Linked DNA regions of Stegostoma tigrinum. The protein of the gene in region 2 interacts with the protein of the main gene of each other region in a pairwise test. Links are inferred from orthologs where the notes say so. Each region holds a gene or a part of one and is shown on either strand. Other genes may lie near its edges. The genes, in order: stam2, plekhb2 and cytidine deaminase-like.

The links.
Region 1: the proteins of plekhb2 (region 2) and stam2 interact in binary tests that used the Homo sapiens proteins (3 or more experiments, as listed by UniProt). The two-hybrid records come from large-scale screens. The link is inferred for Stegostoma tigrinum from reciprocal best matches to the Homo sapiens genes PLEKHB2 and STAM2.
Region 3: the proteins of plekhb2 (region 2) and cytidine deaminase-like interact in binary tests that used the Homo sapiens proteins (3 or more experiments, as listed by UniProt). The two-hybrid records come from large-scale screens. The link is inferred for Stegostoma tigrinum from reciprocal best matches to the Homo sapiens genes PLEKHB2 and CDA.

Annotation. Positions count from the first base shown.
Region 1 is NC_081360.1:97,872,663-97,878,842, forward strand, and holds the start of stam2 (signal transducing adapter molecule 2), read left to right. Parts: upstream 1-2,144; 5' UTR 2,145-2,497; coding exon 2,498-2,537; intron 2,538-6,180. Other genes in the region: hacd2 (very-long-chain (3R)-3-hydroxyacyl-CoA dehydratase 2), read right to left, coding at 1,025-1,152.
Region 2 is NC_081367.1:13,150,636-13,156,815, reverse strand, and holds the start of plekhb2 (pleckstrin homology domain-containing family B member 2), read right to left. Parts: upstream 4,161-6,180; 5' UTR 3,956-4,160; exon of another isoform or gene 3,931-3,955; intron 1-3,930. UniProt on the Homo sapiens protein: Involved in retrograde transport of recycling endosomes.
Region 3 is NC_081391.1:26,465,429-26,471,608, reverse strand, and holds the start of cytidine deaminase-like, read left to right. Parts: upstream 1-2,266; 5' UTR 2,267-2,285; intron 2,286-2,297; coding exon of another isoform or gene 2,298-2,385; exon of another isoform or gene 2,386-2,442; intron 2,443-2,834; exon of another isoform or gene 2,835-2,882; 5' UTR 2,883-3,024; intron 3,025-6,180. Other genes in the region: uncharacterized protein LOC125447215, read right to left, coding at 1,603-1,637, 2,298-2,385. UniProt on the Homo sapiens protein: This enzyme scavenges exogenous and endogenous cytidine and 2'-deoxycytidine for UMP synthesis.

The DNA.
Region 1 (6,180 bases), on a different chromosome or scaffold from region 2:
TTATCTACCTCAGTCTACTGCCTTCAAGAATTTAGGCATGCATACCAAGGATGTTCAATGAGTGCTCTTTTGCCTTGTTGCTTTCCAAAAAGCACTCCTCACACTGATGTGTAATCAGCATATAATTACAGGTTACTGCACTGCATACAAAAGCTTCAACTGAGAGTGCTATAAATATCAAGACATCTTTTAATAACCTTGAACATTACCATCCCTATCTCCCTCGAGGAACATAAAATACCATTTCTGGCATATACAGCAGGGGAGCTCTCAGACAGCTGAATGGGGAAAAAAGTCATTTGTTTGTTTCAATCCAAGGACAGGGAGTCAACTTGCTCGCTGATATCTGCCAACTGAGAAGAGACATTTGCTCCCAATCTCTAGAAAAATACACACCACACCCCTAGTTTGCTTTCACCATTCCCCACAAAGCTTGCCGACTTAGGTCAGCAGGAAACTCAGTCTGTACCAAAGATCTGAAGAGTACAGTAGTGACAGAACGAGATCAGTTGTGTTTTGTAATATGGGAGCGGAAAAGCAGAACAAAGTCCACTGTCGCATCACAATGGTTTCCGGCAGCAATTTACACATGGGGGTGGGGGTCCTTATTCACTAATGCACGTGGCTTAGGTGGAAGGGAAGAAAATACATTTCTTCCTCCATTGCGATATACGAGCCGACCCATGTTTCATTTCAAAAGGAACTTCTTTAAATAATAATCTTTGCCCTCTCAGTACCACTGTAGTCCCTCACTGAGGAACCATCCATAAATAGGAAGTGATCCTGCAAGAGAAGGGAACACGGTGGGGGGGGGGGGGGTTAAATAGACTGCTGCTTTCGATTTGCAAACTGCTTTCAGTAAGCGAGCTTACTGCATTATTATAATGTTAATTAACGCAACACTGAAGAATAGCAGTGGATTTCAGACGCTTATGGAAAGAAATGGTAATTTGCCAACAGTGCCTGACCCGGATAGCTAATTGGGATCGGTACGGAACACAGCTTTAAAAATGTAAGCTCTCACCCGGCCGTCATTACCACGTTGTAGATGACCATGTAAGCAGTGGCGAGGGGTCCCGGACCCCTTCTTTTCTTCTGCGGCCCTTCATGAACCCCACGTTGATGTTCAAGCCCACTCCCGACCGACGCCATGGTGATCAGTCCGTCACTGAACTGCCGCGCGTGCGCAGTATTTACCACCACCTGGCCCCACCCCCTTCTGAAGGATTGGCTGGCTGCCGATCCCGCCTCCCGCACGTCTCCCTCGGTACTGCCCCCAAGATTGGCTGACCCTGAAATGCCACTCATGCATTCCCTGATAACAAAGTGTGAAGCTGGATGAACACGGCAGGCCAAGCAGCATCTCAGGAGCACAAAAGCTGACGTTTCGAGCCTCTCTGATGAAGGGTCTAGGCCCGAAACTTCAGCTTTTGTGCTCCTGAGATGCTGCTTGGCCTGCTGTGTTCATCCAGCTTCACACTTTGTTATCTCACGTTAACTCTATTTGCTCCTCCACAGCTGATGCCAGACCTGCTGAGCTTTTCCAGCAACTTTGTTTTTTGGTCCTCCCCGATACTGCCCTCTGCCAGAACGACCTTCCATTGCCGTTCCTGCGTTCCACCCCCTCCACGCTGCCCCCTGGTTTGGCTGACCTTAAATTGCCCCTCGTACATTCTTCCCTCGATGCTGCCCTCTGGACTGGCGGACAGCGAATTTTTTTTGCTGATGAAGGGTCTTGGCCCGAAACGTCATCCTTCCCGCTCCTATGATGCTGCATGGCCTGCTGTGTTCATCCAGCTCCACACTTTGTTATCTCTACACCTTATTATCTCGGATTCCCCAGCATCTGCAGTTCCTATTATCTCTGAGCGAATTTCCCCTCCTGTATCCTTCCCTGCAATGTCCCGACATCGGTACATGATGCTGGCTACCCACTGAATTACCATACCTCCTTCGGTGCTGCTCCCACGAAACCGGCAAATTGAGAATTCTGTCTCACGGTCATCCTCCTATGCTGCCCCCTGGACGGGCAGACAGCGAATTGCGCCACCCGAACATGTCAATTTACTGCCCCCTAGTTTGGCTGACCCCCCCCCCCACTACAGGAGGGCCGAGTGACGACCGCCTCCAATGGAAGAAAGTGGGGCGGGGTCAAAGAGGCGTCACCTGACCAGCGTGAAGTTATTATTTATTTTATAATTTCTTCACATCCCCCGATCACAAACTCCCTTCACCTCCTCCTGCGACGCCATTTCATCTCCCGGAGAAGGGGTGGAGTGAAAAACTGAGAATATTTATCCTACTTTCAGTTGTGAAAGAAACTGAGACCGTAAGGGGCAGATTTGGTCGGAGGCCTCGGCTGTTAGGATGTTCCAGGGGCTGGCGAAGGAGCGACTGTTACGGGCTTCGAGCTGAAGAGACGCCGAGGCCTGACGGCGGCCTATCTCCAGAAGGCTATTTCTCACTTAAAAAAAGTTTTCCTACTGTAATCCCAGCTATGCCTTTCTTCGCCACCAACCCCTTCGACCAGGATGTCGGTAAGTTATGCCTGTCAGGGTTGAGGGATTTTAAAACCGGCCCCGGGCTTTTAAAAACACACACTTTTAATTATATAAATGACACAACGCTTCTAAATGAGCTGATTATATCAGCTTGTTGAGTACCAAGGGTCTCCGGGAGAAAGGAAATGTTGCTCAGGGAATGATACAGCATTCAAGGCGGCCGTTCGGTCCCTCCTCCCGTGAGGCCCCCCGATTTTAGACCACCCACCCCCGCCAACAATCCTGCAACACCGTCCTCTTGGAACCCCAGGATTTGTCGGTTTGTTTTTGAGAATTACTGTTGAATTTGCACCCTTTCAGCCACTTGTTGCGTCAGAAAATGTTCCCTAATTTTCAAGTTCACAAGGATAAAACCTGATCTCTTTACCGTTCTGATAACTGATCCTTCTGTCACTCAAAGCTGCGTCTCATTTGCTCCACTGAAATCTTTTGAGCGGCTCGATCAGTTCTCATCTTAGCCTGTCAAATAAAAAAAGAGTTGTTAGAAAAAGTGATAGAGGTTTGGAACTCTCGTTCACAAATATTAATTTATGCTAAATCAGTTGTTAAAATTTATCTATGTCAGATGTCAGATTTGTTAAGCAAGGATATTAAGTGATTTTGGGCCTAAGATGAGTACGTGAAGGTAGGCTACAAATCAATTATAACCTCATTGAATGATGGAACAAGCTTGAGGGGCTGAATGGTCTACTCCTGTTCCTGTGTTTCAAACGCTAGAGATGGAATGAAAGCAGAATGTGCTGGAAAAACTCTGCAAGTATTTAGTTTTCATCTTAAATGCCTCTGCTCTTGGCACAAGATGAGTATACAGCATTGGATATGAAGTAGGAGGAGTCCATTCAGCCCTATAAGCTTGCTTTGCTATACAATAAGATGGTGGCTGTTCTGATCTTAGTCTGAGCTCTATGTTCCTGTCTGACACTTCTGCCATTACCCCTCCCAAAAACCCACAAATGCCCTGTGGTTCAAAAATCTATCTTGGTCTCAACTGTGTTCTGTGATAGCATCTACACTGTATTGGGTAGAAAATTACCAAGATAAGTAACCCTCTCAGAGGAGATATTAGTGACAGATGGAGTTTAACCCTAAAAAGTGTGAGGTGATACATTTTGGAAGGACAAACTTGAAAGCAGAATACAGGGTTACAGAAGCGTGGAGGAGCAGAGGGATCTTAGAGTTCATGTTCACAGTTCCCTGAAAGCTGCCACCCAGGTGGATAGAGTTGTTAAGAACGCATATGGTGTGTTAGCTTTCATTTAACAGGGACTGAGTTCAAGTGCCGTGAAGTTATGCTCCAGCTATACAAAAGCCTGGTTCGGCCACATCTGGCGTATTGTGTCCAGTTCTGTCATCTCATTACAGGAAAGATGTGGAGGCGTTGGAAAAGGTGCAGAGGAGATTTACCAGGATATTGCCTGGAATGGAGGGAAGGTCTTATGAGGAAAGGTTGACAGCGTTAGGGCTTTTCTCTTTAGAACAACAAAGGATGAGCGGTGACTTGATTGAGATGTACAAAATGATCAGAGGTATAGATAGAGTGGACAGCCAGAGACTTTTTCCTAGGGTGGAGGTAGCTATTACGAGGGGCATAGTTTTAAAGTGAGTTGAGGTAGATATAGGAGAGACGTAAGTTCTTTACTCAGAGTGGTTAGGGTGTGGAATGCATTGCTGGAGTGGGTAGTGGAGTCGGCCTCATTAGGGGCATTTAAGTGACTGTTAGAGAGGCATATGGATGATAGTATAAGGTAAGGGTGGAGGTTAGATAGAATTTAGCATTAGGGTAAAAGTTTGGCACCACAGAGTGGGCCGAAGGGCCTGTATGTTCTATGTTCCCTCAGTATTTTAAGTGGTCCCTTTGTTTGATACAGTGCAACCAAATTCTAGATTTACTCCATGAGGAGAAACCAGGCCAGCTTCTAGAACTAGGAATGGAACTTGACAGCATATTGTTTTAGATGGCCTGCATTTGCAAGCTCCCATTAATTGTATTTTCTTTTTTCCTTTATCTTGGATTTTGATGTCTTAAGCTTAAAAGAAACTATGCCAGTAGTTAAGCCACACATGCATCCCATCTGTAAATGTCGATTTCTTTGGATCTTGGGTCCTTTTAAAGAACAAAGAATGATACAGCACAGGAATAAGTCCTTCGGCCATCCAAGCCTGCACTGCCAAATTTGCCCCTCCATTGCTGAAACTGTCTTCACTTGCAGAGTCTGTATCTCTCTATTCCTTTCCTATTCATGTATTCGTCCAGACACTACTTGAAAGCTGCTATTATTTCTGCTTCCATCACCATCTCTAGCAATGCGTTCCAGGCACTCGCCACTCTGTGTGAAAAGCTTGCCTAGCACACCCCTTTTAACCCCCCACCTGCCTTGAACCTTGAACCTTGAACCTGTTCTTTTGCCTCCCTCAATATTCTGGCTTAGATCCCTTCAGGACCCAGGGACTTATGTACTTCAATATTTTTTAAGATGCCAAACACCTTGTTAATAGCAACCTGGCTTAGAAACTCGACAGAACCTTCCCAGGGATCATCCTCCGCCAATTCCTATTGTTTGGTGAATACTGACACACAGTATTCATTTAGGACCTCACTCACCTCTTCTCGCCTCACACGTAGATTGTCTCCTTTGCCCTTGAGTAGGCCAACCCTTTCCCTGGCTACCTTCTTACTTTTGTTATATATTATCAATAAGCCTTGGGATTCTCCTTAATCCTGTTTGCTAACAACATTTCATGACCTGTTTTAGCCCTTCTAATTCCTTGTTTAAGTTTTTACCGACTTTCCTTGTATACTTCATCAGTTTCCATCCTCCTGGACCTTATATATGCTTCCATTTTCTTTTTGATCAAGGTTGTAACATTCCTGGTCAACCAAGGTTTATGTAATTTGCCATGCCGATCCTTCATTCTCACAGGAATGTGCCTCTCCTGAACTCTTATCAACTGCTGTTTGAAATATCCCCACATGCCTGATGTAAATTTACCATGAAACAGCTGCCTCCAATCACAATTCTCCAGTTCCTGCCTAACCAGCCTTCCTTCTCCTTCTCCTCCTCCTCCTCCTGCTCCTTTGATGCTGCTTGGCCTGCTGTGTTCATCCAGCTCCACACCTTGTTATCTCAGATTCTCCAGCATTTGCAGTTCCTACTATCTCTGTAGTTCACCTTCACCCAAGGACTGCTATTATCACTATCAATGAGTATCTTAAAGCTCACGGTATTAGGATCACTACTCGTAGAATGCTTCCCTAGTGAACTTCACTGTCCTGGCCAGGCTCATTTCCCAAAGCCAGGCCTAGTATAATCTCTTCCCTTATTGGACTGTTCACGTACTGTGTCAAGAATCCCTCCTGAATGGTTCTTACAAATTCTGTCCCATCCAAGCACCTAGCATGTAGTGAGTCCCAGTCAATACAGGGGAAGTTAAAATCACTCATCACAATAACCCTGCTGTTTTTGCATCTTTCCAAAATCTGTCTACATATTCTCTCTTCTATCACCTGCTGGCTATTGAGGCCTGTAGTATACCCCCAGCACTGTGACTTCATCTTCCCTGTTCCTGAGTTCCACCCATATTGCCTCGCTGCACAAGTCCTCTGATGTATCCTCCCTTA
Region 2 (6,180 bases):
AAGCGGTCACAATATAGCACTATCATTCTCAAAACAGCAAAAGTAGTAGAAACACATGGAAATAGTAAACCTCAAGGATCCAGCTAACAAGGGTGAACTTTTCTATAACCATCCACAGTTATTTTAAAGAATTTTTCAAGTTAAACATTTTCCTTCAAAAGGGAGGAAATGTGAAACAGCCATTAAGATTCAAGGAAAACTGAGTTGGATCCCAAAGTACATGATCCACAGCAGAACTAGGCAAGTTTCTTAACAATTAAATAGCAGCTTGGTGGAAGGTGTTCCAAATCTAATCAATATTGTACATAAGTTGATTATATCTCCAAAAGAGTGAAATATCTACAACACAAAATAAAAACATGAACTGGAGTAGTGAACAACAGCATTAAAAAAGGAGAATGCAAAAAATATCTGCAAACAAGTCAATGGGGGGGGGGTATAAAGGATGATGCAACAGGTCTGACTACAAAAAGGGTATAATGACAAGCAATTACAAATGATCTAAATTGCTGCTCCTCGTTAGTGAGAAAATGGAGAGCAGAAGAACATAACAGGCTCAGAACTGTAAGGACATGGGTGTCACATGTTATAAACAAGACAATTTGGACCAATTATTTCAGTACCTACAAAAAAGTGGAGACATGAGACCAGTTAAATGCCAGAAGCATGAGTCTATGAACAAAAATAATGAAAATTCAACTTCAAACGTTTAACTTATCCAGAGGTAAGTGTACAAATTGGCCAAGCATCTGCTACCAAATAAGTGTACTCCATAAAACTTCACAGCTCAAAAGGATGTTGTTTGTGCAGGTTATTTGCCAACACATGTCTCAACTATGCCCATTGGATTGTATCTCCAGAGTTTTGAATCATCTGCTGCTTTAAATATTTATGCTCAAAAAGTACAAGAGTTTCTGCCTCTGAACACTTCCAAAAGGTACAGCATTATTTATTTTAGTCACATCTACATATACTATGCCAAAGTTCTCTTTTCACTGTGGCAAGTTGGACTCAAAACCTTTTAGAAGTTTTAAAGTCCGTTTGATTTCCAGCTAGTTTTTCAATCCTTATGAATGTATTATTTTGTATTTCCCCCCCGCACTCTAAAGCTGGATTTACTGTGGCTTCTTACAGTGCTATGCAACTGATTTGCTAAAAATTAAACAATTATTGATCTCCAGCAGCTACATAAGTGCTGTAGCTACACAAGTCAAAGACGTGGATTTCACCGACAACTGGAATTCTGCAGAGACCTAGCACCTCCCCAAATCCTGCCCACCATTCAGAAACCACAGGTCTGGAGTGTGATTGTAATATTTTCCATCTCCCCAGACATGCAAAGTGCTAACAACACTCAAGAAGCTCAGCACCATTCAAGCCAAATGCACATAAAATGTCAACACCCTCTACCACTGCACCACAGCTGTGGCAACGTGTACCATCCACAAGTTAAAGCCTCCATCAACAGCACCTTCCAAACCATACACACAGATCTCCTCGAAGGACGAGGGCAGCAGATGGGAACAGCATCTCCAATGTTTCCTACCATGTCATATACTATCCCATCAAATCCTGGAACTGCCTTCCTAACAGTACAATTGAAGGACTACAGCAGTTCAAGGCCGGTCACCACTACAAGGGCAATTGGGATGGTCAATAAGTGCTTGCTTTTCCAACAAAACTTTACCCTATGAAAATACTTCAAGTTTTAAAATCTGATAAGATTCCCCTTACCAAAATCTGTTCTACTGCAGGGCTTCAGGACCTTCAGCTTCTCCTCAAATCCATAGATTTTTCTTAGAAGAAAGTAACTCGTACAGCTTCAGGATAACCAAATGTACTTTAGAGTCAGTTACATGATCATTGCTGTAACTGATGAAAATTATCAGCCAAATTGTACACCAGGCTCCACAAATACATTAAATCAGCACAGAGCACGCTATAGCATATTTGGCCAAGTGATGCTACCACTTTGTGCTGACAGGGAGAAATTTTAACACGATCTCCGATTTGGACATTCATTCAATGGCCTACCAATGAAATAGTAATGAATAGAAATGCCTCTCAATGTAATTCTTAGAGGGCAGGCTGCTATGATAATTTCCACAATTTGAAGGTTATGGCCACAAATGCATTTTGGTTATCCTCCCACATTCTAGAAATGGATCAAATAGCTGCATCATCCAAAACTCGGGGGTTGGAGTTGCCTATTCACCATTATACCAGTCAAATGGGGACCCTGGCCATTTCTTCAACACTGCACACATCCCATTATTCATCAATTGGGAAAGTGAGCTGTTACCAGCATTTTGAATATTCCCTACTGTTGCCCAAAATCACTGACACGATTTGAAGCACTTTTTGGGTAGGTCCAAAAAAAGTATTAGCCCTTGCTTTTCTTTGAAAATTGCACAGGAATGATTTACATTCAACCGAGTTGGCTGTTACTTTAAAGTTTGTATAAGCAAGCAGGGTTATAGTGCAGGACTTCCTCAATATCACACAAGCACCGTGTTCTCAAAATCTCTCCAGTTTGGACTTTGGTAGTGTATACCCAAATCTAGTACAAACCCAAGACTTCATATTCAATTTGCAAGCACTAATTTCTAGCCTTGAGACATATTTAGGTTTTAAAATATACATCTTCACCACAAAGCATTTGGAATTAACGTTAACCCAACAGCAAGTAAATCTAAACCAAAAGAGGAGCAGATGCTGTAAGTCAGTAATAAAATCAGAAGGGTCACCGGACCCAAAACATTAACTGATTTTTCTTCATAGATGCTACCAGACTTGGCTGAGCTTTTCCAGCAACTTCTAGATTTTGTTCAAGTAAACCTGCCCCAATTTAATGCTGATGCGCAACACCCTTAAATAAATCATGTCAAGAAATCTCAAACTTTTTATGGGAATTCTGAATTAGCTGAGGAGCTAAGCACTAGCAGCTGGATGAACGAACAAAATAACAACTGATTCAGTGACATTAAGCCTAAAAGGACAGATGACGAGCTTTGACTGTCTGAACTACAGTGGATTGGAAAGTGACTCAGTGGTACCACGTGGCCCAGACTTAAAGCATTTCATCCTCCACGGACTTAATTCAATTAAGCACTCTGCAAAGGTGCAAGTTATTTCAATGATAAACAATAACACATAGCATAAACATTGTAAAACACTAATAAATAATAAATTCACAATTTTGTTCTGGGGAAACTGTGAAATGGTTTAAGTAGCACTCTATCATGAACGATTATTGGTTCACAATGTGTGTCAATTTCAAACATACTATTAATTCCACAAGTTACATGATGTGCTTTTGTTTACTAGAGAGGGTGGAGGAATGATTAAGTAGTCATATGATACTGTCACAGATGACGACGATCACACACTAAAACAAACAGACGCCTACTCCTTCTCATATCATAATAAAAGACCTGTTAAGTCCATGACAGTTTTATATTTCAAAAGGGGAGGGGTGGGAAAGAAGGGTCAGTCAGAAAGTAGGATAAATCCGAAAGGGATCAGTCAGTAGTTTAAGCAGCAAAAATAAACAGTTCTCCTGGTTTACGTGTGGGCTGGACGAAGATATACATGAACCCAAATCCTGTCTCCCTCTTTCTGCTTCCTACTGCTGCTGATGCGCAACATTAGTGTATTTATTGGGCTGGGGTTAGGTTTAAGAAATACACTGGAAACATCGCACCCAGCAGACAGAAACAGTCAAATCCTTTGCCAAGTGACCACGCTATGAACCCGGCCCTCGACAGCCGCGACCATCTGAAACAGAAATCCAGAGACACTCCTTGGAACGCCATGTAAGAGTTTAACGTTCCAAATTAGAATCCAAAGACTACCGTGCAACAGTTCAACGTTCCAAACTGGAACAAAGACTCTCGTAGAACCCCATTACCACCTGCAACCGCTACTCACCCTCAGCCCTAGCAGCTCCACTCACCCCGTCACCTCAATTTGTCACAAGACAAGTGCGTCCTCAGGCGATCCACCTATTCTCCGCCCTCCTTGCCACGGTCGCCTCTGGGAGTTATAGTCCATTCAAACCCGTTCCCCGTTTTCTGCCGAGGACGGAGACTACATTTCCCATCCAGCATCGCAGACTGCCGAAGGAAAGACTCCCGGCTTTGAAATAGGAAGAATTGCAGAGGTTAGAGTCAGAGATAACGCAGCATCATAGGAGCCGGGAAGTTGACGTTTTGGGTGGGGTCACTTCTTCCTGCTTTGACTTCCTTGTGAATCCACCCAGCCCCAACGCGTTCCAGCGCTATTGGCACGAATGATAAAGGGCTGTCTTCTTTGGATGTGTCCTCCAGCAGGTGTTTACATCTTATTTGACGTTTCTCCCGAAGGGAAACCTCCCTGAGATCTTCATCAAATCAGCTGAAGTTGGCCCTTCTCTATTTACTCTGTTTATAAAGTTAGCCAGCTACGAGTTTGAGGGTGGCGGAATGGGTAGCAGGGGCCCAAAGAACTGAGGCTGTTGGAAATCAGAAACAATAACGTAAGTTTCTGGCGAAACTCAGCAGGTGTGGCAGCATCTGTGGAGAGAAAACAGAGTTAGGCTGTGTTCTATACAAGGGTCATTGCGTTCTCTCCGCAGATGCTGCCACACCTGCTGAGTTTCTCTAGCAATTTCTGTTTTTGTTCTGATTTCTAACATTCGCACTTCAGGGGGTGTTGGGAGGAGGGGGTATAGGGGATCACGATTGTCGATTCGGTCGAGAAAAAAAAATAAACATTAGGTAGACCACTCGAGCTGAATGCCTTTTTGTGCAGCCCATATTCAATACAATTCAGCCTACAGATCTTTGTGGTTCCAAGTAAAGCATCACTATGAATACGGGAAATCCTCCATACCACCGACATTCAGTCCTATGCCCAATTGACAAGTGCCCTTCCAACTCCATGAACTAACAGCAAACATCCTGCTGGACCTACTGATGGTTATCACTAAAATGAACTAAGTTTGTGAATATTTTAAGTTTTTAAAATTCACAACAAATAGTGGAAACCTGGCAAAAAGCCCCAGTCAGAAGCCCAGAGAGAAACCTCTCAAAATTGCAGTAGACTAGAAAAGACAACACCTTCCAATCTGTAGCCCAAGACACCTCTGGTGACAGCTTCCATGCCAGATGATCAGCAATGAGCTAAACTTAAAAAGGCCCAGAATCGATTAACTATCAGTGCGAAATGGCATATGGGTTTTTGTTTTGTTTTCATTCATTCACGGGATGTGGGCATCACCAAATAAGCAATTATTTATTGCGTATCCCACATTGTCCGGGGAAGGTGAGGCTCAGCTGCTTTCTTAACTGCAATCCTTTTGGTCGGTACACAGTTAGGAAAGAAGCTCCAGGATATTTTGACCCAATTGCTAGAAAAGCTCAGCAGTTCTGGCAGCATCTGTGAAGGAACAAAAACAGAAGTTGCTGGAAAAGCTCAGCAGGTCAGAAGGGTCACCGGACCCGAAATGTTAACTCTGATTTTTTTTCTTCACAGATGCTGTCAAACCTGCTGAGTTTTTCCAGGAACTTCTGCTTTTGATCCTGATTTTCAACATTCGCAATTCTTTCAGTTTTTATTTTGACCCGGTGTCAGTGTTCCAGTCAGAATGGTATGTGACCTGGACGGGAGCCTGCAGGTGTTACTCCCTTGTACCTACAGCCCTATCCTAAGTAGCAGTGGTCACAGGTTTAAAAGATGTTGTCAAAGGAGCATTAGTGAATTACTGCAGTGCTTCTTGTAGTATGGTCAGACTGCTGCCACTGTGTGTCGGCAGTGAAGGATGTGAATGCTGAAGGGCGAACAGGGGGGGCCAATCAAGTGGGCTGCTTTGATCTAGATGGTGTCAAACTTCTAGAGTGTTGTTGAAGCTGCATTCATCCGGGCAAGTGGAGATTATTCTAACACACTCCTGATGTGGGATCAGAGTTAAATGCATGGCTTAAAGTTTAGATGGGAGATAGGGGTTTCATGGAGGACTGGTAACATTACTGGGAAAATAGAGAGCTGTACTGTTATGGTGACCTTCAACTGAATTTTACTGAGATGGATTAAATCAGGTCGGATGTTAATTTTAACTGGAATGTGGCAGAAAGAGAGTGTGCAAACATAAGAATGGACCACTAAATGATGTCAGAGTAAGGAAAAATGATAAGAAGAGAG
Region 3 (6,180 bases), on a different chromosome or scaffold from region 2:
TGCATGTCCCCTGGTATTAGACATTTCAACTCTGGGCAAAACATTCTGACCATGAACCTTATCTATGCATCTCAATTTTATTGATTCTATCAAGTCTCACCTCAGCCTTCGCCGCTTTAGAGAAAACAACCCGAATTCTTCTAGCCTCTTCTTAAAGCTCAGACCCTGTAATTCAGGCAGCATCCTGGTAAACCTCTTCTGCGCTCTCTCCAAAGCCTCCACATCCTTCCGTTAATGTGGCAAACAGAACTGAATGCAATACTCTAAGTATGGCTTAACCAAATTCTTATAAAGCTGCAGCATTACTTCCTGACTATTGTACTTAATTCCCTGAACAATAAAGGCAAACATGCCGTATGGCACTTTACCACCCTATCTACTTGCGCGGCCACTCTCAGGGTGCTATAGGATTGAACCCCAAGATTTCTCTGTACATCACTGTTGTTCAGGAGTGCTGCCATTAACTGTATAATTTTCCTTAACATTTGAACTCCCACATGCAATATCTCATGCTTGCCTGGATTAAACTCCATCTGCCACTTTTCCGCCCATATCTGCAACCGATCTACATTCAGCTCTAACCTTTGATAACCTTCTACAGTATCCACAACTCCACCGATCGTTGTATTGTCTGCAAACATATGAGCTATCCATCTATGTTTTAAATCCAATTCATTTACATGTGCCACAAACAGAGGTCCCATTACACATCCCTATGGAACACCACTAGTCACCGAACTGCAGGCTGAAAACCTTTGTTCCATCACCACCCTCTGCCTTTTGTGGGCAAGCCAATTCTGAATCTATGTGGCCAAGTCACATGTATCCTTATTTACTTTATCAAATCTGTTTGTGATTTTAAGTGTCTCAGTTAAAATTCCACGGCGAGAATGTGAAACTGAAACCATTTCCCATCCACGTCAAATCCTCGCTTGTGTTACAGTCCCTGTGTACACAGTCTTTGGGATATACTTGTTCATCCTAGGAGGCCTATAGATCTGTGAGCCGAGGACTCCACGGTCAGTGAAGCAGAGCTTTAAGGGGATTGGCCTGTGGGAATGAGCTATACGTTCACGGGACAGGAGTGTGTGGATTTCAGTTCTAGCATTTGTATTTGTGTGTCCAATGTAGGTGTATTGGCCATGGACTATACATCTTTGGAGCTTACAGGATGTGATTCAGTTGGTTTAAAGTACGTTGGTATTGTACAATATAGATAATTGGGGAATAGATCCTCGTTGATGTATTGGATAGAATTCTGTAGGTTGATTGAGCAGCGATCTCCGAGGGTGTGTGTTATGAAGGTTCATGCAGTGAAACAGAGAGACAGGCTGTGTGAGGAGGAGGCAGCACGCGAGACAGATGGATAGACAGCATGAGCAAGTGAGGGAGAGAGACAGAGCGAAAGACAGGTATAGCAGCAAAGAGACAGAAAAACAAATAGAACAAAAGCGTGTGTGGGGTGACTGGGGGTGTCATATCTGCAGGGTAGAGATATTTTCAGAAAAGCCTAGGTACCACCACCATATAAAGTAAAAGCTGCATGTTATTTGTAATTGGCACGATAAATAAAACAATCCAGAGAATGGCTAAAACACTCACCGCAACGGAAGCTGCTCCATGCTTAGTCAACAACCCTTACAAACAGAAATTAAAGACAATGCTTTATTGATCAAGGTTCAGCTTTTTGTCAAATTATGAATAACAGTGGCATTTAATAAGTTATTTAAATGTTGAGCTACAGCCACACAGCAACCTTTCAATTAATAATAGTAAAAACTGAAACTGCTGGAGAAACTCAGCAGCTCTAGCAGCATCTGTGGAGGGAGTAACAAAATTAGTGTTTTGAGTCCAATATGACTCTTTTACAAAGCAGTCAGGCACTGCCCAGTTCAACAGTGTGCTGATACGCAGTAAATGCAGGAGCTATAATGTGCATAGCAAGCTCCCACAAACAAACAATGACTTGAATGAGCTGATATGTTGAGGGAGGAACATTGGCAACAACATAGGGAGACATCTTCCCTGCTGCTCTGTTCATCCACTTGCATCATCATGAACATTGACCAGAACCACAGAAAAGCACAGACAACCTTAGTTTAAAATCTCATTCTAAGGTCATCTCTGATAACGTAGCAGTCAAGCTGACATTTACTATATTCCTATCTTTGCAAACTTAGCTCTTGGGGAATATGATCCTGTGGCACAGGAAGTTACAAAATGATATGGTTTTGTCAGTCTAACCACTGACTGCAGGCAGGAGGCAGGGCTTTCTGTTACTGCAGGTTACTGCTTACCTTCCTCAAATCTTGATCCATCACAATTCCAAGCATGCTGCTGAATTAGTGCTTCGGAAAACCAATTACCACAGAGTGGACACTCCATTCTGCTTTCATAGTGGTTATCCAGTGCTATGTGTGAATGGGAAAAGATGGGTAAAAGGTTAATCTGCTGGTTTAGTCTCTTTCTCTGACCAGCGAACCTGTTTGTCCAGTAGATCTAGCTCTGATCACTGGATCTCTGTTCCTGATCTTCAGATCACTTTCTTTGCTCCCAATTCATCTCTCTCTTTTGGGGCCCTCTTTATACAATGAACTTCTCTCCCAACCATTTAGATCACTCTTTAGTCACTGCTCCCAGAGTGCACATAGCGGATCTCCAGCCTCTCCCAATGCATCTTCTTTTGATCTCCCTCTGCACAATGGCTTTTTCTCTGATTAGTTTCAAATAGATCTCTCTCTCTCTCTCTCTCTCTTCCCCCACCCCCCCCACAACCTCGCTCTCTCTGATTCTGCTGTGGAGTTCCCAGAATTGTCCCTCCCTTTACTTGTTACGCACGTTCCTCAGCTGACTCATGTCTTCCTCTCTCCTCCTATTAACAGACTAAAGTGCAACTGTGGATTATAGCTGACGTGTGCAATCAGGTTACTATATTATCATTGTGTAGCTTGTGGAACTGTGCTGAGACTTACGGTGTTTCACAGACCAACTGATGTAGCCAAGACAAGCCAGCTTTGAAAAGAGGTAGGAATCATTTTCAAATATTGACATTATCTTGCTCAGCATTAAGCGTACTTTAAATCCTGTTACGTAACAATTGTAAGTCTGATATGTGACATCTATGACCATCAAATCAGTCACAAAAGATCAACACCTCTGGAATCGGTCCAAACTCATACTTTCACTTCAGCAAGTACAGTTCTTGCACGTTTTCTAGCATCCCTTAGACAATGAGAGGAATCTATGATTAAAACAAAACTGTAACTAAACTTTGGATGGCTTGAGTAATAAAAAATAATCTTTGGCCTTTTTACAAATTAGTTCTTGACATAAATAGCTGCCTCCTTTCAGGAAGTAGACTGCATTTAGGTAGGCAAATTATCTGAACTGAATAAGTCTAGGAGAGCTGGGGGCCATGCTTACAAGGGCAGAAGCATATCACATGTCGGTAGCTGTCGTCCAAACAACAGTGAATCTGGGGGATCAGACGACAGTTGTCTCATGCAGTGAAAACTGATTCTCTCTATTTCTTCAGCCAACACTGTACTAGGAATGGTGATCATCTTGCATAAGTGAGTATAATGTAATGTCAATCAGAGCCAATATCATCTCTGGGACTAGAGATAATGGGAACTGCAGATGCTGGAGAATCCAAGATAACTAAATGTGAGGCTGGATGAACACAGCAGGCCAAGCAGCATCTTAGGAGCACAAAAGCTGACGTTTCGGGCCTAGACCTTGTTATCATCTCCAGGACTACTTTTGATTAAGGAGGTCAAACAACAATTTCCCATGAATCTCTCCCTGTTTCATTTGGGTTTGATCAGATCTGTTTTCTATCTCTTCTATTAACCTGATTTGGTTCTGGGTAGAGGAAGAGAGCTTGTGAGTGTATGTCATAGAGTCATACAGCATGAAATAGGCTATTTGGTCCAAACAGGCCAACCATAATCCCAAACTAAACTAGTCCCACCTGACTGCGCATGCCCATATCTGTCCAAACATTTCCTATTTATGTGTGTAATGTCTTTTAGGTATTGTAACTTTACCCACATCCACCACTTCCTCTGGAAGTTCATTCCAGACACAAACTACACTGTGCGGGGAAAAAAAAGTTGCCCTTAAGTCTTTTTTAAGTTGCTTCCCTCTCACCTTAAAAATATGCTTCCTAGTCTTCAAATCCACAACTCTATGGAAAAGACACCTGCCATTAACATTATCTATATCCCTCATTATTTTATAAACTTCTTTACGGTCACCCTCTCAATCTCCAATGTTCCAGTTAATAAAGTCACAGCCTATCCAGCCTCTCCTTATAATGAAAATCCTCCATTCCTGGCAATATCCTGGTAAATCTTTTTTGGACCCTCTTTAGCTTAATAATATCCTTCTTATAACAAAGTGACCAGAACTGGACACAGTACACCAGAAGAGGTCTCACCAACGTTTTGTACTACCTCAACATGCTGCCCAACTCCTATACTCAAAAGGTCTGAACAACGAAAGCAAGTGTGCTAAATGCCTTCTTAACCAACCTATCTATATGGAATGCAACCTTCACAGAATTATGAATATGAACTCCCAGGTCTCTTTGTTCTACAACACTACCCAGGGTCCCACTATTAATTGTAACGGTCCTGCCATTATTCATTTTACCAGAACGTAACATCTCACATTTATCTAAATTAAACTCCATCTGCCAAGCCTGAGATCGTTGGCCCTTAATCAAGATCTCTTTGTAATCTTGGATCTCTTTCTTCACTGTCCACTATACCACCAATTTTGGCGTCATCTGCAAATTTACTAACCATGCCTTCTTATCTGAATCATTTCTGTAAATGACAAACAAGAGGACCCAGCACGATCCCTGTGGAATAGCACCATTGACAGGCCTCCAGTCTGAAAAGCAACCCTCCACCACAACTCTGTTTTCTGCCATTAAGCCAATTTTAAATACAATTTGCAAGCTCACCCTGAATCCCATGTTATTCAACTTTACTAATTAGTCAACCATGTGGAACCTTGTCAAAGGGTCTACTAAAGTCTAAGTAAACAACATACATCACTGTGCCCTCATCAATTTTCCTGGTCACTTCCTCAAAAATCTCAATCAAGTTTGTGACACACTATTTCTCTCACATAAGACTGTGCTGACCATCCCTAATCATTCCTTGCCTCTCAATGTGCATATAAATCTTTTCAGAATCACCTCCAGCAACTTAACCACCACAGAAGTCAGGCTCTCAAATTTATAGTTCCTAGGCTTCTCCCTACATACCTTCTTAAACAAAGGCACAATACGGTAGTTACAAAGTGTCCAGTGGCTATTCCTCTATCAAACAGATATTCAGTTTTGGAACTGTAGAAGGGGATAGTCTCTCTGAGGAAAATTGTAGGGGCAGTCAGTTATTGGACGCTTGAAATAATTCTTATGTTAGGCAGCATTTGATGGGATTTAATAAAATGATTGTTATAGGGGACTACTATCAGGGACGTAGACGGAAGATTCTGCGGCAGTGAGCATAAATTTAGCATGGCTTGTTGCTTTCCCGGTGCTAGGATTAAAGACACCTCACAACATTTCAAGCAAATTGTTAAACGTGGGATCGAGAAGCCACAAATCATTGTATACATTGGTTGGAATGACACTTTTAGGGAAAAGATTAGAGCAGTGTAGAGTAAGTTTGAGAGGTTAGGTAGAAAATTAAAAAATAGAACCCTGAAAGTAGTAATTTCTGGTTTACTCCCAATGCCAAACTCAAACAAGGGAAGAAACAAAAGGTTAAAGGAGATGAATCAATGGTGAACAGCTGTGAATTGCTAGGGATTCGGGTTTTTGGTCGGTTGGAATACTTTCTGGCATAGAAAGAGCTGTTCAAACAGGATGGGTCGAATGTCAACTGGAAAGGGATCAATAGCTTGGCAGGGCAACTAGCTCATTCCATTAAGGGAGACTTTATACTGACAGAGAGGGGGTGTGAAGGAATTCTAAGCAGCAGTGTAAACAGAAGGATTGATAGGGAATAAAAACGGAAGTTGCTGGAAAAGCTCAGCAGGTCTGGCAGCATCTGTGAAGGAAATAAACAATTAACATTTCAGATCCGGTGACTCTTCCTCAGTTCTAGACCAGACCCGAAACATTAACTCAGTTTTTTTTTCCTTCACATGTGATCCCAGACC